4 linked regions of the Macaca fascicularis genome follow. The protein of the gene in region 3 interacts with the protein of the main gene of each other region in a biochemical or structural test. Links are inferred from orthologs where the notes say so. Each region holds a gene or a part of one and is shown on either strand. Other genes may lie near its edges. The genes, in order: SNTB1, DLG3, FRMPD4 and SNTA1.

What was found.
Region 1: the proteins of FRMPD4 (region 3) and SNTB1 interact in a test that uses a peptide from one of them, tested with the Homo sapiens proteins (2 studies listed by IntAct, with this or other methods). The link is inferred for Macaca fascicularis from reciprocal best matches to the Homo sapiens genes FRMPD4 and SNTB1.
Region 2: the proteins of FRMPD4 (region 3) and DLG3 interact in a test that uses a peptide from one of them, tested with the Homo sapiens proteins (2 studies listed by IntAct, with this or other methods). The link is inferred for Macaca fascicularis from reciprocal best matches to the Homo sapiens genes FRMPD4 and DLG3.
Region 4: the proteins of FRMPD4 (region 3) and SNTA1 interact in a test that uses a peptide from one of them, tested with the Homo sapiens proteins (2 studies listed by IntAct, with this or other methods). The link is inferred for Macaca fascicularis from reciprocal best matches to the Homo sapiens genes FRMPD4 and SNTA1.

The regions. Positions count from the first base shown.
Region 1 is NC_088382.1:130,428,311-130,434,015, reverse strand, and holds the start of SNTB1 (beta-1-syntrophin), read left to right. Parts: upstream 1-2,326; 5' UTR 2,327-2,529; coding exon 2,530-3,109; intron 3,110-5,705. UniProt on the Homo sapiens protein: Adapter protein that binds to and probably organizes the subcellular localization of a variety of membrane proteins. May link various receptors to the actin cytoskeleton and the dystrophin glycoprotein complex.
Region 2 is NC_088395.1:77,242,001-77,246,960, reverse strand, and holds part of DLG3 (disks large homolog 3), read right to left. Parts: intron 1,458-4,960; coding exon 1,281-1,457; intron 1,045-1,280; coding exon 969-1,044; intron 189-968; coding exon 89-188; intron 1-88. UniProt on the Homo sapiens protein: Required for learning most likely through its role in synaptic plasticity following NMDA receptor signaling.
Region 3 is NC_088395.1:12,491,149-12,496,108, forward strand, and holds part of FRMPD4 (FERM and PDZ domain-containing protein 4), read left to right. Parts: coding exon 1-655; intron 656-1,028; coding exon 1,029-2,318; intron 2,319-3,941; coding exon of another isoform or gene 3,942-3,946; coding exon 3,947-4,960. UniProt on the Homo sapiens protein: Positive regulator of dendritic spine morphogenesis and density. Required for the maintenance of excitatory synaptic transmission. Binds phosphatidylinositol 4,5-bisphosphate.
Region 4 is NC_088384.1:89,418,159-89,423,906, reverse strand, and holds the end of SNTA1 (alpha-1-syntrophin), read left to right. Parts: intron 1-1,941; coding exon 1,942-2,138; coding exon of another isoform or gene 2,139-2,170; intron 2,171-3,385; coding exon 3,386-3,573; intron 3,574-3,674; coding exon 3,675-3,767; 3' UTR 3,768-4,313; downstream 4,314-5,748. UniProt on the Homo sapiens protein: Adapter protein that binds to and probably organizes the subcellular localization of a variety of membrane proteins. May link various receptors to the actin cytoskeleton and the extracellular matrix via the dystrophin glycoprotein complex.

The sequences.
Region 1 (5,705 bases), on a different chromosome or scaffold from region 3:
GCAGCTTTAAATCCTGACTCTGCCATTTACTAATTACATGACAGGGGCAGCTTATGAAACCTGAACCTCCCCTTCTTCACCTGTGAAATGGGAATGACGGTAATAGTAAATATCCTCAAGAATTGCTGGGATGATTAGGTTAATATGTGTAAAGAACTTAGAATAGCAGCTGTAATTATGATTCCACTGGAAAGGGCATCTCTGGCTAACATACATGCCTCAGGCCTAATAACTATCTCCTCTCATTCCGATGCAACTTTCAAAAACCAACATACTCCTTCCCATGTAGGTTTGCTTACACAGAAAAAAAAAAAATGTGCTTATCACAGAGATTCTGAGAAATTCCCATCCCAGAGCCTACAGTTTCTTCTGGCAAATCGATATATTATCTGTGGTTGTGCCTGGGCCTCCCACATTGTTTGGCCACAGAGGCAAGATGCAGGCATGATGTTGATGCAGGATTTCTGGTCCAGGAGTCAATCTGTCTTGATTTGTAAATCTTCACACTGGCACTCTGTTGCCTATCTCAACCTTAGTGTATCTGGATTTCAACGCAGATACTCAGGCTCTGGTTTCACTGAAGAATGATGCACATGAGTCAGTCTCTAAAGCAAGGGGCTAGCCCCAGCTGCTTTTCGGTCCTGAGAGTGGATGGTGATACCACCTGTGTTAGCTCCTTGTCTGATTCTGCATGTCACAAAGGGCTGGAGAGCCCCTGAGGCTGCCGTCCCTGCTGTGGCCACCTTTGCATGAAAGAGTAAAGAGCTTTTTGCAAAATGGGTGAGTTAAAAATATAGGAAGAGGGAGAGCTACAAGCAGAAGCATCAATCCAGGGCACCTTCTCACCTGCAATGACTCCACCTTCTCAAGAAAACGTCCAAATGTTTTCATTTCATTCTTTGACCTGGTTGGGACTCCACTCTTTAGGGAGTCATCTGAGCTTTTAAGCCTCCTTGATTAAGTGTGAGTTATTCTAAAAGACTTAGAGAACTTTCAACGATGATACACATCAATGGGAATGTGTTCAATAAGATTTATTTCAACACCTTGCTGGGTTGGGGTTACTTCAGGAATTAACAGAACTGTGTGTTTTGTTTTGTCTTGTGTTTGGAGACAGGGTAGACCGCAGTGGGAAGGGTACATAATGGAGAATCACGAAATACCTTGAGCGGACCCTGAGACCTGCTTAGAGTTAGGGGAAAACTGGAGAGGTTCAAGGATAGAAGAACTCAGGGTTGTTCAGGTGTGACATGGGTTACGTGGGCATTTCTGGATTGCTCTGGGAAGGTAAACAACCATTATAATATTGTTACCCTGGAAAAATGCAACTTGAAATCCAAATAACTAACTTGCAAAGTAACTTTTGAAATATCACCCATTCCAACTGAATTCTTAAATGGGAGGCTTCTTATATGGGAACTCAGGAAGAAAGAGAGATCCCCAGGCAGCATTTGGTGTGGCACTGGGAAAACAAAGATAGGTCAAAAGCTTAAAGCATAGAATGAGTTACAGCTGGAAGAACATTTGTCCCTGGGGTCCGAGGCAGGCATGACCTGTTGAAAACCCCAGGCCAGCAAAGACACCTGTCCAGGGCTCCATAAAAAATATTTCCTGCATTTAAGGAGAGGAGGTTTAAGGCACTCGGGCTATGTTGAGTCTTCATTCTAGAATCTTGGGACAGCGTATTCCCTTTTAACTCCTGGGGAGTCCAGGGCCTTGGTCTGAGTTTAGCTTCCTCCTAGGAACCCGGGTGGAAAGGAGAGACAGGTAAGAACTCCGCAGAGTCAGGGAAGCCTGGGTTTGAGGAAGCAGAGGGAGGAGACCTGGATCTAGTTACAAAGGAGTTGTAAGACCCAGGGACAATTCTACGTGCTGGGTGTGAAAGGGGAGGGGGCTCAGGAGGACCGAGTGAGGGCACTGAGGCAGGACGCACGCACCCGGCGAAGGTGCGGTGTGGGCGCCCACGGAGTGGGGGAGCTGGGACGAAAGGGGGACTGCGGTGGGCTGGAGAGAAGCGGGACGGGGAAGGCGCTCGGGAAGCTGTCCCCTCGGCGTCGTGCGCTCCGGGGACGGAGGCGGGGAGGTCTGGGCGGGCGAGCGGCGTGTGACCGCCAAGGCTGGGGCGGCTGGAACAGGTGAGCGGCCGCTGGGTTGTGGGTCCCCGCCCTTCACCGCCAGCGTGCCTCCTCCCACGGACTCTCCCCAGCGCTGAGCTGCTCCGCGGCTCCCCTTGGTTTGGGGTTTTGCAACTGGCTGCTGGCTTTTTTCCCCTCCCCTGTCTCGGTCTCTCCTTCTTCTTTTAGGTTGCTCCACCCCGCCCAGGATCAGGAGAGGGGGAACCAGCCTGACTGCGGCTGCCAACTCCCGCCGAGTGCGTCTGCGAACTCCCGGAGCGGAGTCCCGCGTGCCGCCACCTCCTCACGGGGCGCACTCTCCTCGCTCCCCCGGGCCCCGCGTCCTCCCCCCGGCCACCCTTCCCCACTTTTCCCCCCTTTTCCAATCACATGGCATTTTAAGAATGCCGGAAAGATGGCGGTAGCGGCGGCGGCGGCGGCGGCGGCGGCGGCTGGGCCGGCAGGCGGGGGAGGCGGCCGGGCGCAGCGGAGCGGGCTGCTGGAAGTTTTGGTGCGGGATCGCTGGCACAAAGTTCTGGTGAACTTGAGCGAGGACGCCCTGGTTCTGAGCAGCGAGGAGGGCGCTGCGGCGTACAACGGCATTGGGACCGCCACCAATGGCTCGTTCTGCAGGGGCGCCGGGGCTGGGCACACGGGCGCGGGCGGCGCGCAGCCCCCGGACTCGCCCGCCGGGGTCCGCACCGCCTTCACCGACCTGCCGGAGCAGGTGCCCGAGTCCATCTCGAACCAAAAGCGCGGCGTGAAGGTGCTGAAGCAGGAGCTAGGCGGGTTGGGGATCAGCATCAAGGGGGGCAAGGAGAACAAGATGCCCATCCTCATCAGCAAGATCTTCAAGGGGCTGGCGGCGGACCAGACCCAAGCCCTGTACGTGGGCGACGCCATCCTGTCCGTGAACGGAGCCGACCTGCGGGACGCCACCCACGACGAGGCGGTGCAGGCGCTAAAGCGCGCGGGCAAGGAAGTGCTGCTGGAAGGTAAGGGGTTAACCGCGCGCGGGCAGCGCCGGGCGCGCACACACCTGCTCGGCTTCCCACCCGCACGCTCACACTCACACCACACTCGACCACGTGCCGACACACCCCAGGGGGCCGAATGTGTGTGTGTGGGTGGGGGAGAGGGCGGAGGAATTGGCAGCATAGAGTTTTGTCAACTTTTACCCACCCTGGGGGCAATTAGTCTCCAGTCCGCAGGGTTGGCTTTAACCCAGGAGGGGTGTATGGAAAAGCGAGGCTAGCAGGGTTTCCCAGCCGGATTGCTGCTTAGTATACGTTGTTTCATTTTTGTCTGCGAGTAATCCTAGTAGAGTGTAGGGATTGGGATATGGAATCGAGAATGAAGGGTGAACTTAGAATATTCCTACATCCAACGTTGCCAAGCAGGGCTACTGCGTAATTGCAACTCATAGTTTTCCGCTTTGGCAAAATTTCCCACTCTAAAGCCTGGGCAACCCAGCAGAAGAGGATTGACTCATAAAGGGGTGAGAGAGAGGTGGCAATATTGTGAATGCTAAAACTCCGACTATCCTTCTGGACGTTCCCCCTGCAAATGGGGGACTAGGGTTATGCCTGGAGAGTTGTGTCAGGGGCCGGGAAATTCGTTGCAGTTTTGGGGAAAATTCACTTTCCCTGCCGGGCATCTGGCCGGTCAGTCTGGATTCCAGGTTCCTCTGGGTGGAGAGCTGGTGAAGTGGTTTTTCTGGCTGCGTTTTCTGGAGCCCTTTCTGAGTGGTGTGGAAACAACTTTGCATTTGTAAACAGTTCCCCCTGCGTGTGAGGAGCCTAGAAACTACTCTCTGTCTCTCGAGATCTGATGTCCCCAGTCCCCTCATTATTGAATGTGAATAGAATAGGAACCACCTATTTACAGTTTTGCACTGTTCATGGCTATGTTGAGTTATGTCGGGGAGAAGGGCATATTGGTAGTAAACTGAATTCTCCTGTTTGGCTACAGCTGCATTTCTCACTTGTTTCTCTTCTCTTTAGTGCTGTGTACATACCTCTGTCAGCACTAATAACGTGTAATTATTTTATCTATTTACTCAGCCTAGCCTACCTATAGATTGCGGTATCTGGAGTCTTTTATTTAGCGGTGGATCTCTCTTGGAGCTTAGTTGCTCCATGTCATACATACTGAGTAAATGAATAAATGAACCTATAGCTATTGAAATAGACTATTTCATCTGAGACCATGTAATATGGTGATTGATTTAAGCCCTAAAGACGTAAGTCAATTTCCTGCTTACTTAGTCGTGGCACTGGTGTGTGAAACTGAGAAAGTTTAAAGCAAGGGTGCCAGCATCACTAGTGTGTGACAGCTGATGCAACTCCCTGGTATGTCATGGCCCACCTCCTGGCCCACAATACAGAGAAGTTCTCCCCCACCAACCTTGTTTGTCTAGAGGATTTGCGATGTCTTCATAGTCAATTACCACCCTGGACCCAGACAGTGGAAAGCTATTTGCTTTGGCTTGATGATTAACATAACAGGAAAAAAAAGTTTTCTTGACTCCAGTGTGTGTTGGTTTGTGTGACAAGGGTCAGGTGGGATCTGGGGCAAGTGTTATTTGGAATATAAACTGTTGGGCACCTGCTCAGTTTGCAATACTTACTGTAAATACCGGGGTAGGGGTTGGGGGTGGGGCGGAAGGCGGGTCATTTTATTTTAGGTACTATCCTTTATTATGTCCCTACTTTTCTTCCTCTGCTTGCTTTCAATTTAACGAATAATTACTTGGCAAAGAGGTAAAAAATATCTCTCACCCAAAAAGAGGAAGAAATTTCTCTGCAATTGAAAATAAACTTAGAGAAAGAAAAAAAATCAAGCAATTATGTGACTTTCAGTTTCTTGAAACAGAAACTGAAAAGTGAGTTTGGTAAAAACCTCTAACATGACATTCTTAGAACACTTTGTCATTTGTCATAGGCAGGACCTCTGGAGAAACACTGTGGGTCTCCTAGATATGAACATTTTTGGCTCAGTGTAGCAGCCTTATCCTCAGCCCAAGTTTTTCAAAATCAGCTGCTGTTAAGGGAAGCGGAGGCCCTCCTCAGAACAGTGTCTCTTATTCTGAGCCAAAGTGTTCGTTCTCAATGCAATGGTAGTCATCAAATACCATCAAGTCAAATATCACAATCCTCTCTTTTGTAGCTTAGCCTAATACTGGGATTCCCAGTTGAAGGGGCTTATTAGGACCACTTCAAGGGCTTTTTAAAAAGACATACCTACTTCTTCATATTCTAACATGCAGTGTGGATTCCAGAGTTTCTACATAGGAGAGGTTTTGAAGATGTAATCTGGTTACATGACAGGGCAAAGGGAAATGTTTTGAAGGTACATTTGTATAGCAAGTACACCCTTTTTTCCGGCTAGATTCCTTTTTGTTTGTTTATTGGGGGAGTAAATGGAGATTAGTTTAGTACTCCAACCACCGCCCACACGCACCCCACTGCATGACATGCGCCCCCTGGTGGAGAGCTACTACCTCTACGAGTGGAACACCCTGTAAAGTGAAACCCTGGAAAAGTTTCAATGCCTGCATTCTAGGCATAGATTCCGCCACAGAATTAACAT
Region 2 (4,960 bases), about 65 Mb from region 3:
TGCCCAGGCTTCTCCTGAGGGAAGGGCAACTGACGATGAGAAGACGGGGCTGCAGACGGCCTGCTCTCTGGACTCTGCTGCTACTTACGTTCCTGCATGCTGCTCTCCTGGGCCATGTTTTCTTTGCTCTTGTAAAATGGAAACTTTCGAGAGAGGCGGAAACTCTTTTTACGTTTCTTTTTGATCGACTGTGAAAGAACATGAAGATGGAGGGGAAGGACAGAAGAAAAAAAAACAGAACAATGGATTTTAAAGCATGCAAGAAAAACTAAAATGGAGACAACGGTGAGCTAAATAAAAGACCATCTCTCACAAATGGAGTCTATGAGATTAAATGAAAGTTGATGTAAGAGGAAAATTATGTTTACAAGAAAATGTTGTAGGGATGTTAGAGGTTTCTACCTAACCCAGACTCATAACACTCACTGTACTTCCTAAAGAACAAAGGTCACTGTAGCCTCCTGGACACATGCCCTAAGGTACCACTGATATACACAGAGTCATCTACTCCACGTCTCTCTTCCCTCTACTGCTCCAGAAGTTCTTTGGCCTGTGAAGCTCATAGAAAAAAAGGGGTGAATAGAGAGCCCCCCTGCCTCAGGTGGTCTGAAGGGAGGTGGGAGCTCTGGGACTGGGCTTCTTGGCTGGATGCTCTGACAGGATCTATAGCCAGGGAGACACCCATGAGTGGCTTCATTTTCCCCAAGCAAGTCAGCCTTCCAGACAGTCCAACTCCAACACATCTTCAAGAGCCAGTACCCAGGGGGAAGGAGCACAGACTAGCTGTGGACTTTAAGAGCTCCCTCTCTGCTTTCTGAAAAGCAGTCAATGTTCTGACAGGACAGAGCCAGCCCCCGGAAAAAGAGATTTTCTTTTGTGTCCCCCAGTTCTCCTACACATCAGACTAAATTCCAAGCTTCTCGCCCCTCTTTACCTACTGGCTGATTTCCTTGGGAATCCCCACTTACCCTGTTAGACTCAATCATCCCCGTCCTGGCATGGAACTTCACAGTTTTCAATCGAGCTCTTTCTTTCTTTTCTACCCTGTTTTGGAATCAGAAAGAAGTCCTGTTACTGCCAGTAAATGGTCCAGCAGTGGGTTGCAGCAGGCACAGCAGCCATTTTTTTGGCTCACTGAGTAAAAACTATGTTGAGTACCGACTCTACCAAAAAGGAAGCAAGGCACAAATGTTGCTCTCAAGCAACTTCTAATAGGAAAACAAGAAAGAAATACCAGCAAGAGGGCAGGAAAGGCCTTGCTCATGATCATGATGACTCACCTCTTCTTACTGGGGATCACACCGATCTGCTCACTTTCTCCGTGTGGGGTCACCAGCCTTGCCTGCCACCACTCATCATCAGAGGCATTAATGACATGAAGAATGTCACCATAAGAGAAGCTGAGCCCCTGGCTTGGCAGGCAGCTGTCCCGAGTCCGATCGTAGTCAAACAGGGCCCTGAAAGGCACAGTGAAAGATGAAGTGATCATCCAACCCTAAATGCCAAGACACTGGCACCTTGAAAAGATGGAAGGCCAACCCAAACAGCACAGACATAGCAGCCTCACAGCATACTAGAAGGATGTCTCCAGGAGACCACATCCTTCTTTCTGTGCCAAAGTGGTAAATATGCACTCCCTTTCAAAGAAACATCTCATTCTCCCAATAAGAAGCATAAGCGAAAATATTTTACAAACCCCATTTCCTCTTGGCTTCTGGATGCAAGACAAAAGTTCAAAGTAGAACTCATTCAACAGTCCTCTCCCTCACCTACATCCTAGGAAACTAGCTCTAGCAGGGAGCTTTCTCAGTTCACAAACATATCTTCAAAAAGTAGCTAAAGACAGGACAAAAAAATGTTAACTACAGTCCCAAACAATGACTGGTAAACACTGCTGAAACACTAAAGAAAGGGCCCTATGTCCTCAGGAGTCCAAAGAAAAAGCTAAGGCTGACGCTGACCCACACAATGGTAGGGTTGAAAAGAACCAATGGGACCCTAGAAGTGCAGTCTCTTTCTCTTACATATGGGGAAACAGAGGCTCAGTGAGGAAAAATAGTTTGACCTAGATCACATATCTAACCAACCTGGGACAAAACCCAGGTCTTCTGACAAGACATGCTGTTGTGACATGCTATAAATGATGCAGAGTAAAGAAGTAAAAGGGAAGGTGGGAGAAGGTGGGGAGGGAGCTATACAATCCAGGTTTATGGAAAAGGACACCAGCTTGGCTGCTGCTAGAAGTCCTAGGAAATGGTATTGGAAATAAAGGTCTGAGGCAAATTTTGGAAGCCCTTGAATAGACATGATTTAGCAGCCCCTGGAAATCTGAGAGGAGTGACACATCAAAAGAGCCTTACGAGGTCGGGTGCAGAGGCTCATGCCATTATACTTTGGGAGTCTGAGGCGGGTGGATCACCTGTGGTCAGGAGTTCAAGAGCAGCCTGGCCAATATGGTGAAACCCCATCTCTACTAAAAATACAAAAATTAGCTGGGTGTGGTGGCACACGCCTGTAGTCCCAGCTACTCAGGAGGCTGAGGCAGGAGAATCACTTGAACCTGGGAGGTGGAGGTTGCAGTGAGCCGAGATTATGCCACTGCACTCCAGTCTGGGTGACAGAGCGAGACTCTGTCTCCAAAAAAAAAAAAAGTTTCTACTTTTCACATCCAGTGGAACCTGTCTTTATATAGAGTCACCACAAATGGGTGATTTCAGTAAGAAGTTTGTGTTTTTCTATCTGCAATCTAGGCTGTCTTCTTCATATTCTCTTAATAGAGGTGTTTTCACACCTTTGCACACACAGCCCAAAATCTAGTTCCAAGACTTCGACTTCTACCTGCAATACTGTGGCCTTTGGCTCAGTTGGAAGTTGCAAGTAAAACACACTATCTTACCATATGCAAGCCCAAATGAGATAGGATGTAGTAAAACCATGAAGAGTGAAATACCCACCTACTGCTTAAAGTTCTTGAAACAGAGTTCTTAAAAATCAGTGTCAGATGATTTGAAAATGAAAATACCCAAACTCTAACAAAAAGCCCTTTTTTCCCCCTCAGTTTACACACTCAAAGCAGTCAGGAGAATGGCAGAGGCAGCAGACAAGGAGGTGCTGTCCAAGAGGTGCATTCTGGGCTATGTGTGACAGAATCAAAACTGAATGCATTTTCACTGCCTGAGTCCTGCATTTCCTAAAGCAAGGAAGACATTCTGTCAGTCACTCCTACTAAGAAGAGCATCATGAAGCAACCTCATTCTCAGTGACAATGAGAAACACTGGATGTTATTATGGGTTTCAAAGATTAGAACAAATACAGTAAGGAAAAGAACAGAACTTGAATTAAGCACAAATTAGTTTGGTGAGGGAAGGAAGGAAGATGTTAAAATGAATTTAGGAGGCTGGGAGCAGTGGCTCACACCTGTAATCCTAACACTTTGGGAGGCCGAGGTGGGCAGATCACGTGAGGTCAGGAGTTCGAGACCTGCCTGGCCAACATGGCAAAACTCCATCTCTACTAAAAATATAAAAATTAGCCAGGCAGGATGGTGGGCGCCTGTAGTCCCAGCTACTCGGGAGGCTGAGGCAGGAGAATAGCTTGAGCCCGGGTGGCAGAGGTTGCAATGAGCCAAGATTGCGCCATTGCACTCCAGCCTGGGTGACAGACTGAGACTCCATCTTCAAAACAAAACAAAACAAAACAACAAAAAAATTAAAACACATATAGCACAAGCTAAGTAAAAACAAAATAAACACAGATCAAAGTCAAAAAGATTTTGCCAGTAGTTAACTCTGCACATTGGGAATTGTACTATTCGGGCTTGTGTTTTTAAGCACAGCATGTGTTCCTTTCACAATTTTCAAAAAACATTAAGTCAATTAAAAAGAAAAAGTGGGGAAGCAGATATATCAAGCACTGGTGTGAGTCATTTACTTCAGATGAGGAACACGTTTGGTTCTAAGTTCCCTGGCAAACAAGGCAAAAAAGGAAGTTGTCTAACTCTAACTTCCCAATAAAAAATGGTACCCAAGTCTATCTGGATTTTGTTTGATGAATTTACGAATGCTGAATGAAGAAGAAATATGAACAGGATGGACAATGCTTTAAGCTATGGTTTTGTAAAAGACATAGAAATGTAGTATCTGAGGTCTGAGATTCTGAACTGGACTATCATTCACAGTTGAGAATGCAAAAAAAATTGAACAAGAATTTCCTTTTCTATCAATCAGAACTGCAAATAGAAAAAGAATTTTGCAGACTGCTAAAGCCTCAGAGGTCATTTTGTCCAACTTTCTATCTGATAAAGGAAATCCCTTAGATATTCTCTAAGTTTCTTTCCAGCTCTAGCATTTAATGAGTCTGGGTCTTTCCTAGATCTTCTCTACCAGGCTAAACATTCCCAATTCCCTCAACAATTCCTTTGTCGTAACTTTGATTTGTTTTCCAAACCCGTGATGTGGATTTTCCCTAAATCTACTTTGCCTCTTTTTCCTGCTGAAATTTTGTTTGACTAAGAGCTGGAAAATTTCCTCAAAGACAACGAAAGTCAGGCCCAGATATGCACACGGCCTCATCTAGAACTGCATGCTGGGTGACTCTCAGACCAGGGCTCTTCTATCTCAGAAAATTTTGTAAGGCCTAAGTCACAGTCACATGTGTTTTGTTTTGTTTTTTTTTTAAAAAAAGCTAATTCTTCGCCAGGCATGATGGTTCACATCTGTAATCCCAGCACTTTGAGAGGCCAAGGCGGGCGGATCACAAGGTCAGGAGATGGAGACCATCCTGGCCAACATGGTGAAACCCCATCTCTATTAAAAATACAAAAATTAGCTGGGCATGGTGATGCATGCCTGTAGTCCCAGTTACTCGGCAGGCTGAGGCAGGAGAGTCACTTGAACCCGGGAGGCAGAGGATGCAGTGAGCCGAGATCACGCCACTGTACCCCAGCCTGGTGACAGAGCG
Region 3 (4,960 bases):
CTACTAGATGAGAGTCCTGAAATGCTGGAGAAGCAGAGAAATCTCTACATCGGCAGTGCCAGTGACATGAAGGGCCTGGATCTCACTCCAGAGGCAGAGGGCATCCAGTTTGTGGAAAATTCTGTTTATGCAAACATAGGCGATGTGAAGAGCTTCCAGGCTGCAGAGGGGATCGAGGAGCCCCTCTTGCATGACATCTGTTATGCAGAAAACACTGATGACGCAGAGGATGAGGACGAGGTGAGCTGTGAGGAGGACCTCGTGGTGGGGGAGATGAACCAGCCGGCCATCCTCAACCTGTCTGGGTCAAGCGATGACATCATTGACCTCACATCCCTGCCCCCTCCAGAAGGTGATGACAATGAGGATGACTTCCTGTTGCGTTCCTTGAACATGGCCATTGCCGCACCCCCACCTGGCTTTAGAGACAGTTCAGATGAAGAGGACTCTCAGAGCCAGGCAGCTTCCTTCCCCGAGGACAAGGAGAAAGGCGGCAGCCTGCAAAATGATGAGATCCCCGTGTCCCTCATTGACGCTGTGCCCACCAGCGCCGAAGGCAAGTGTGAGAAGGGACTGGATAATGCCGTTGTCTCCACGCTGGGAGCTCTAGAGACTCTATCCGTGTCAGAAGAACAGCAGACCAGTGACAATTCAGGTTCTTTCACAATTGTTACATTCATTCACTGATAACCATATCATTCCATCCTTCCAAGCCATTTGCCCTTGGAGTTCTGTTACATGGTGTTCTCCATTTCACAAATGTCCCATTTCATAAACGTGCTGAAACTGCCATCATAGGTTTTTTTGTGTGTATGTGATTTCTTTTGTTGTTACTTTTTTAAAAACATAAGGCACATCTCCCCCACCCCCACCCCCATTTCTGGAAAAACTGCAATAAACTCAGAGTCCTTACTGAAAAGGGAAAAACTTGGTATTTTGTTTTAGTAATAACGGGTCCCATTTTCTTACATGTCTCCAAGTGCCTCTGATGCATCCATTAATCAGTTCTTGTTTTTTACGGCATGCAGGTGTAGCCATCTTGCGGGCTTATAGTCCTGAGTCTTCGTCAGACTCGGGCAATGAAACTAACTCTTCTGAAATGACTGAGAGTTCTGAACTGGCCACAGCACAAAAACAGTCAGAAAACCTCTCCCGCATGTTCTTGGCCACTCACGAAGGCTACCACCCCCTTGCAGAAGAGCAGACTGAGTTCCCGGCCTCCAAGACCCCCACTGGGGGCTTGCATCCAAAGTCCTCGCACACCCTGGCTGCTAGGCCAGCAACTGACCTCCCGCCCAAAGTTGTGCCTTCCAAGCAGTTACTTCACTCAGACCACATGGAGATGGAGCCTGAAACCATGGAGACTAAGTCAGTCACTGACTATTTCAGCAAACTGCACATGGGGTCGGTGGCATACTCCTGCACTAGCAAAAGGAAAAGCAAGCTGGCCGATGGTGAGGGGAAGGCACCCCCTAATGGGAACACAATAGGAAAAAAACAGCAGGGGACCAAAACGGCAGAGATGGAGGAGGACGCCAGTGGTAAATTTGGTACTGTGTCTTCACGGGACAGTCAACACCTGAGCACTTTTAACCTGGAGAGAACTGCCTTTCGCAAGGACAGCCAAAGATGGTATGTGGCCACTGAAAGCGGGATGGCTGAAAAAAGTGGATTAGAAGCAGCAACGGGGAAAACCTTTCCAAGAGCTTCTGGTCTTGGGGCAAGGGAGGCTGAAGGGAAGGAAGAAGGAGCTCCTGATGGAGAAACCAGTGATGGCTCAGGACTTGGTCAAGGGGACCACTTCTTAACTGACGTGACCTGTGCATCTTCAGCCAAAGACTTAGATAACCCAGAGGACGCTGACTCGTCCACCTGCGACCATCCTTCCAAGCTTCCTGAGGCTGATGAGAGTGTGGCCCACCTTTGTGACTACCACTTGGCCAAGCGGATGTCATCGCTGCAAAGCGAGGGCCATTTTTCTCTGCAGAGCTCCCAAGGCTCTTCAGTGGATGCAGGCTGTGGCACGGGCAGCAGCGGCAGTGCCTGCGCCACACCCGTGGAGTCGCCGCTCTGCCCCTCCCTAGGGAAGCACTTGATTCCTGACGCTTCTGGGAAAGGCGTGAATTACATTCCTTCAGAGGAGAGAGCCCCTGGGCTTCCCAACCACGGAGCCACCTTTAAGGAACTGCACCCACAGACAGAAGGGATGTGTCCACGAATGACAGTGCCTGCTCTGCACACAGCCATTAACACCGAACCCCTGTTTGGCACATTGAGAGATGGATGCCATCGGCTCCCCAAGATTAAGGAAACCACAGGTACAGCAATGATGGATTTAGCACTTTGTATGACATGCCAGGAGCATGTAAACCATATTTACAACAAACTTACAAACGTAAAGTCTGGAAGAAAAGTAAAAGGTAGAATTTAAAAGGCCACAGAACAGTAAAGTACCAATCATTGATCCCCTAATATTTAATAAATACTAAAGATTACAAAGGTGAAAATGGCATTTGCGCTTTATAATCTTGCTCTGTGTTTGCTTTCAGAATTTGATGGAGCAATATGTTTTTTTCCTAAATTCTAAATGCAGATGTTTAGCAATGCCCAGTGTGACTTTTAGTTATATGATAGTATTGCTTAGAGTCACATACCAGTTTGATTTTCTTCCCAAGACATCTGATTTCTAATTCTGCCATTTCATTATTGAGGGACAAAGAAGAATAAGAGAGCAGGGTATCAGGGAGATTGGAGGGGTTTGGAGAGATTATTTGCCTTTCAGCAATCTTACTGACTCCTCCCTACTCTGACATACCCCAGTGTCAGGAAGATTTTGAGGTTATGTCTGATGAGCTGCTTTATTTTCCCCAAAATAATAAAGTGTAAACACACATAGAAACAAGAACACATCCACCTTCTGTATCCCACCTTCACTACTCCACCACTCAATGGTATGCATTCCCCTCACTGATCCACTTGGCTGGTCATTATATGGCAAAAGCAGATACTCTCTCATATTTTCATATTTCAAATTATGTCATCAATAGTGTCTTTTTCATACAGGTCAATAGAAGTTAGTGAGATCTTATATTGGTCATTTTCTATTCCTGTTCTTTTAAGATTTTCTACTTTCTCAAAACCCACCACTGGCTTTACCTGCCTTGGAAAAGTTATCTGTGAATATTACCTAACTCATCACCCAACTGCATATTTACCTCTAAACTAACTAAGTCACACTGTTTAATCTTTCATGATTTATAAAGAACTTTCACCTGAGTTACCTCTTGCTTCTCACAAATATTCTGTGAGATGGGGATTATTTGCTTCACATGACAGCTTTTCTTAAACAAACAAAAAAAAAATGTTGAGCAACTGGCCCAAGGTCTCAACTTCAGACTTTGTACCAGGCAAACCTCATGCTGTCCTCTTAAAAAGATTCACTTATTTAATTTGCATTAATTAAATTAGGCCACTTCTTTAAAAGAAAGAAAGGAAAGAAAGAAAAAGAAAGAAAGTAAGGAAAAGAAAAGAAAGAAAGAAACTGATGCCAGGTTTAACTTAATTCCCTTGAAATGAAACTTAGTATCTTCAATATATTTGAATAATCTATACATAGTTATTTTCTGTGTCTAAGCTTGATAGATAGATATTGGTAGCAAGGCAATTCATGAAATCCCTGAAAATGTTTGGGATTTCTAGACAATTTCAAATGAATCAGCAGTTCCAGAAATAACAGATTCCAGTATTTTCTTGATATTCATTAAAATGGAAATTTGTTATGAGATATCAAGATGCAGCCTTTGGAAAGCAGGGTGACCTTAGCATACGGCAGCCCTTCCAGACTACATCCTTGAGAAATGACAGACATCATGTAGAGATGTAGTAAAAATGGCCTCCCAGGAGATGCTTAATGATTCTCTCTGTTTTTCTACTACCCCTAGTGTAGCTTTGACAGAGCCTGGGAAGGAGAGACGAGGAGGCATGCCTTCAGCTTGGTCTCAACATCCTGAAGCTGATCCCATCCTGCTACCATCAAACATTCACTCGGAATCAAAGGTGCCAATTCCAAATCAAGACCCTAATGATTTCTCCCAAGCAAATCAGGCATATGGAGAGGCTGTGAGCTGGCGGCCACCGGATCTGAGAGGGGGAAGCCTCAGGACACCCCCCAGCCAGAAGGCTCTGAGACATAGCAGCAGTGTCCTCTCCGGATCTGTCGATTTGGAGACCTTCCGAGAGAGAACCAAGGGTGCAGTCAGCTTAAAGTGTCCAGGCATCACAGAAGCACAGGAGGCCAGTTCTGAAAGGCGAGCAGAACTCCCCCTGGGGAGGAAGCTCACCAAAAGTTTTTCCCAAAGCTCGATGCACTTGAGCTCCGAGGGGAGGTTTCACAAAAGGTCCCCAGTGGCTCATAAAGACTCAAAGCTGTATAGGACATTACCCTTGCGGAAGCTGGAGGGCAGCAATTGGAGATGCCGGGGACCCTTCAGCTATTGCTTCCTGAACCGAGGGCAGGATGAAGATGGTGAGGAAGAGGAGGAGAGAGGAGAGGCCACCGTCCAGGTCGCTTGCCTCTATAGACCACAGATGACTCAAGCCACGCCAGAACCAAGCAGCCCATGTCTGGCTGTGGCAATTCAGAAGCAAGGAGGGGAGCTATCCAGAGGGTCAGTGCTGAAGGTCTGGGCAGAAGACCTGCGAGGCCCAGATGACTTGGACTTCAGCAACCTGGCTTTTGATGCCCGGATTGCAAGAATAAATGCCCTAAAGGAGAGCACATATGCAATGCCTGATGGGTTCCTTGCAGCCCAAAATGATGCCAATGAGCTGCTCTGTCTCGTCAGGGCAACAAAGGAGAAGAAAGAGGAGTCACGCCCTGAAGCATACGACCTTACACTTTCTCAGTACAAGCAACTGTTGTCCATTGAGTCCAGACAGTTGGGAAGTGCCTGTAGGAAAA
Region 4 (5,748 bases), on a different chromosome or scaffold from region 3:
GTCTCCCCCAGAACTTGCCGGGAGATGCTCCAGCAGGGCCCCAGAAGCTGGAAACTCCAGCCCTGTCCACCCTCAGCTATTCCCCAGGTGACCTGAAGCAAGTCTCTGCCCTGTCTGGGCCTCAGTTTCCTTATCTGTAAAATGGGTGCTTGGAACAAAAGGACATAAGGTCCCCGCTAGCCACTCATTCATTGACACTTATGCCTTATGCTGCATGGGTCAGAGGGCACAGAGCTGACCCCAACAGTCGCTGCCTCCAGAGAGAACCTTGTCTGATTGGGGAGACAGACCCAGGAACAGCCATTACAGTGCAGAGTTTGTAGGAGCCACTTAACTCTGTAGGGGTAGTTGAGGAACGCTTCAGGGAGGAGGTGACATCTGAGCTGGACTTTGATGGATGAGTAGAAGTTTTCTGTTTAAGAAAGGGTGAAAGAGCATCCCATGCAGAGAGAACATCATGGTCAAAGGTACAGAGGCATGAAGGGCTATAGCGTGTTCATGGGGCTATGAGTTTGTGACAACCAGAATTCATGCAGGAAATGGAGAGAAGGGAGTTGGCAGGGCCTGATCTTGCAGAGCTTCTTTTGCCTGATTAAGGAATGTTAGCTTTATCTTAAGAGTTTGGCAGTGTTGAAGGGTTTAAGCTGGGGAGCGAGGTGCTCTGGTTGCTTTAAGAGAATCCCTGTGGCTGCCACGTGGAAAATGCAGCGGAGAGTGCAGGATGGAAGTGGGGAAGCGCTGCAGTCGTGCAGGAGAGATGATGGTGGCTGGGGGAGGTGGAAGTGGGCGGCAGGAGCAGATGGAGAAGAAAGGCAGCATTGGCATTGGAAACCACATGGGTGTAAAATTAACAGGGCTCCGTGCTTGCCAGATGGGGCGGGTGAAGGAGGGGTCTGGAATGAACAGGAGGTTTGGAGCTGGTGTCTGGGTGAGCGTGGGACTGGGGGTGGGGGTGGAAAGGGAGGAGGCTGGAGCAAGATGCTGAGTCAAGTCCAGAGTGTGTGTGGGATGGAGAGGGAGCTTGGATAGGAAGCTTGGGGACTCAGGGGTCTGCAGCTCAGGGCTGGAAAGTGGAAGGCTGGCGTCAGCAGAAGTCTGGGGGGGAAGTGAGCTATAGGAGAAAGAGTGGGTGAAGGGAGGAACAAAGAGGGATATGGGGCAGAACTCTTAGGTCTGCCCCAGAGAGGGGCAGTTGGCTTACCAAGGCCACACAGCAAGTGACAGTCAAGCTGCAGGGGTCTGAAGTCCTTGTCACCCATGTCTCCTTACCTCAGGCTGGCTCTGGCCCATGTGTCAGGAGCCTGCTGGCTACTAGGGATAATTAGGTCCTGGATTGTCTACCTAATCAAGTGATTCAAGTCAGGCAACAAATGTTTATTGAGCCTCTACTGTGGTCAGGCATAGTTTTACTTAATGGGAATACAGTGGTGAACGCAAGATCAACATTTCTAACCTAGCTGACATCCTAGTGAAAAAGACAGTGAAAAACCAACAAAAACAAATAATAAAAAGTATAATTTCTGGTACCATGATGAAAAAGTAAGGCTAGTGAGTGACAAGGGTGCTATTTTGGACTGGCAGGCCAGGGAAAGCTTCTCAGAGGAGGTGACATTTAAACTAACATCTGAAGGAAGTGAGGGAGTGAGCCATGGAGATAATCAGGTAAGCGTGTATAGGCAGAGGGAACAGCATACGCAGAGGTGCTGAGGCAGGCGTGTGCTAGGTGTGTGTGAGGACACCAGTGTAGCCGGAGCCAAGGGAGCGACAGGGAGGGTGGCAGGAGATGTCTCCTGCTGAGTCAATCAGTGCCCCCTGGCAAGTCCTGTCCTGTTAGGTGGTAAAGGATTTACAGGGTTTTTCCCAGGTCATTGGCCCCTTTGCCCAGAACTATTTGCCCCCTGCCCGAGGCCTCATGCTCAGCCCTCTGCCCCTCACCCCCAGACTGGTGCACTCAGGCCCCTCCAAGGGCTCAGTGCCCTACGATGCAGAGCTCTCTTTTGCCCTGCGCACGGGCACACGTCACGGTGTGGACACTCACCTGTTCAGCGTGGAGTCACCGCAGGAGCTGGCTGCCTGGACCCGCCAGCTGGTGGATGGCTGTCACCGGGCCGCCGAGGGTGTGCAGGAGGTGTCTACAGGTGTGCTGGGAGGATCTGGGAGTGTCCCTCTGGTAATGAGCCTCTTATCCCCAGGGGCATTCAAGCTTCCTTCTTTAGGGCACTTCAGGAGGGGACAGAAAATGGGGTTTGGAGGTTAAGGTGGGTGGATCACCTGAGGTCAGAAGTTTGAGACCAGCCTGGCCAACATGGCAAAACCCCATCTCTACTAATAATACAAAAATTGGCTGGGTGTGGTGCCTCATGCCTGTAATCCCAACATTTTGCGAGGATGAGGCAGGTGGATCACTTGAGGTCAGCAGTTGAAGACCAGCCTGGCCAAAATGGTGAAACCCTGTCTCTACTAAAAATACAAAAATTAGCCAGGTGTGGTGGCGGGTGCCCGTAGTCCCAGCTACTCAGGAGGCTGAGGCAGAAGAATTGCTTGAATCTGGGAGGCGGAGGTTGTAGTGGTCCCAGATTGCACCACTGCACTCCAGCCTGGGCAACAGAGCAAGACTCTGTCTCAAAAAAAAAAAAAAATAATAATAATACAAAAATTAGCTGGGCATGGTAGTAGGTGCCTGTAGTCCCAGCTATGCAGGAAGCTGAGGAACAAGAATCGCTTGAACCCGGGAGGTGGAGGTTGTGGTGAGCTGAGATTGTGCCCGCTGCACTCCAGCCTGGGTAACAGAGTGAGACTGTTTCTCCAAAAAAAAAAAAAAAAAGGAAGTTGGGTTTGGGCCCTCTGTTTTGGATGTGCAGGTGCCCTGGCAGGCAGAGACTCTTCTCCCTGGGGTTTTCTTGCTCCAGCTTTGTCAATCTGCTGGTGAGGATGTGAGAGATGGCACTTGGGGTAGGGTTGCCAGAGGAAATACAGGACACCCAGCCTCATTTGAATTTCAGGTTAACAATGAATACTTTTTTCATAGAAGTATGCCCAAATTAGTCATTGTTTATCTGAAATTTAAATTTAGCTGGGCAACTCTGCAGGTCTCCAAGGGCGGTGCTTGGTCGATCTGATGATGCCTTTATCAGGAGTGAGCCTCCAGTCCATGGCAGATTTTAAGCTCCCCCTTTCTACTTGTGGACTGGAAGTGGGTGTAGGTCCTCTGAGGGTGGGGGTGATGACTCTCTGCAGGGTGGGTGTACAGGTGCCACGACAAACAGTGAGCCTCCCGTCCCTGGAGGCATTCAGGCCCCACTTTGTAAGCTGCGGTGGGGGTTGGAGGTTGGGGTGTAGTGTCTGAGGTGCCAGCTGTGCCTGTACCTATGTGCCCTCCCTGCAGCCTGCACATGGAACGGGCGTCCCTGCAGCCTGTCTGTGCACATCGACAAGGGCTTCACACTGTGGGCGGCTGAGCCAGGTGCAGCCCGAGCTGTGCTCCTGCGACAGCCCTTCGAGAAGCTGCAGATGTCTTCAGATGATGGTGCCAGTCTCCTTTTCCTGGACTTTGGAGGTGCTGAAGGCGAGATCGTGAGTGAGGGGCTGCCTTTGCACCCTGGGGAGGAGGGGGTATGCACTCTTGGAGGCCAGGCTGGCCAGGGCCCTGACTCTTCTCTCCATCCACCCTGCAGCAGCTGGACCTGCACTCGTGTCCCAAAACCATAGTCTTCATCATCCACTCCTTCCTCTCGGCCAAAGTCACCCGCCTTGGGCTATTGGCCTAGAAGTCACCGGATGCGCTAGCCCTGAAGAGGGGTATCCATGACATGGCCTGAGCTGGGCCTCCACCGACTGCCTGCTCACCCCTGGGCTGAGGGAAGGGAGAGGAGAGGAACAAGGGCCTCTGAGACCCCACCCCTGAGGGAGACTGGATTGGTCTTGGGGCCCGGGGCCCAGGACCCAGACCCAGGACAGAGTGGACTCTGCCTGTGATGGGGTGGCCCTCCTGCTGCCCCCCACCACCAGTGCCTTTTGCGGAGAGATATTTTGTGTACACAGAAGCCATTCCGAGTCTGGGACCTGCCCCTGTGCGGATCCTGACCCCAGCCAACAGCTGAGCTGCCAGGCCTCCTCGAGGCCCCTAAGCCACCCCTAGAGGTCCCATCTGAAGCTGGAGTCCCCTGGGGTCAGCGGCAAGAGAAACAAGAGGAGACTTTGTTTGTTTTTCCCCTCAGCCCTGCCACCTTGGGGAGTCTGGTTTTTCTCTTCATCCTCTCTCTCCTCCTTACTCTTGGATAAATAAACAGCCTGTGAGACACAGGCAGCCCGGCCCAGTGTCTGTGGTCTGTGCCTTGGCCTTTGGGTCCTGGGGTGGCCCCTGCAGTCCCAAGATGGACCAGACCAAGGACTGGGGCACCTTTCCCTGGAGAAGAACAGACTTTTACCACATGGGCCAAAGAGAGTGTATTGGTTATCTATTGTTGTGTGACAAATTACCCCACATTTTTACAGCTTAAAATGACAAATATTCATTATCTCTTAGGTTCTGTGGGTCAGGGATTTGAGAGGGGCTAAGCTGGGCTGTTCTTGTCTCAGGGTCGTTCATGAGGTTGCAGTCAAATTGTCAGCTAGGGCTGCAGTCATCTGAAGGCTTGACTGGGGCTGGAGGATCCATTCCAATACTGCTCATGCACATGGCTGTGGGTAGGAGGTCTCCGTTCCTCACCATGTAGGGCTAACCCTAGAGCTGCTGCTTGAGTTTTCTCATGATATGGCAGTTGGCTTTCCCCACAATGAGACAGAAGAGAGAGCAAAGAGGAAGCCACAAACAGTGCCTCTTACGACCCAGTCTTGGAAGCCATACACTGTTGCTTCTGCTTTGTTCTATTTGTTAGAAGTGAGTCACTAAGTTCAGTCCACACTCAAGGGGAGGGGAATTAGGCTCCACTTCTTGAAGAAAGGAATGCCAAATAATTTGTGGATCCATTTTAAAGCCATCTTAGAGAGCTTCAGGACCCTTTCCTGCAGAAGGGAGGTGGAGTGGAATGTGTTTGGTGCTTCGGAAACTGCGATGTGCTGACTGGATGTGAGTGGGTGGTGGTTATGACTCCCTACTAAAATCACGACGACAACAGCAATGATGAATTTTTTTTTTTTTTTTTTTGAGATGGGGTCTTGCTCTGTCACCCAGGTGGGAGTGCAGTGGTGTGTTCTCAGCTCACTGCAACCTCCACCTCCCGGTTCAAGCGATTCTCCTGCCTCAGCTTCCCGAGTAGCTGGGATTACAGGTGCCCACCACTGCCCACCACCATGCCCCACTACTGTTTTGTAGTTTTAGTAAAGATGGGGTTTCACCATGTTGGCCAGGCTGGTTTTAAACTCCTGACCTCAAGTGATCCTCCTGCATCAGCTTCCCAAAGTGCTAGGACACCGCGCCCAGCCCAGAACTTTTTTTTTTTTAACTTTTTTTTTTTTTTTTTTTTTTTTTTGAGGCGGAGTCTTCACTCTGTGGCCCAGGCTGGAGTGCAGTGGCACCATCTCGGCTCACTGCAAGCTCCGCCTCCCGGGTTCGCGCCATTCTCCTGCCTCAGCCTCCCGAGTAGCTGGGACTACAGGCGCCCGCCACCGCGCCCGGCTAATTTTTTGTATTTTAGTAGAGACGGGGTTTACCGTGTTAGCCAGGATGGTCTCGATCTACTGACCTCGTGATCCGCCCGCCTCGGCCTCCCAAAGTGCAGGGATTACAGGCGTGAGCCACTGCGCCCG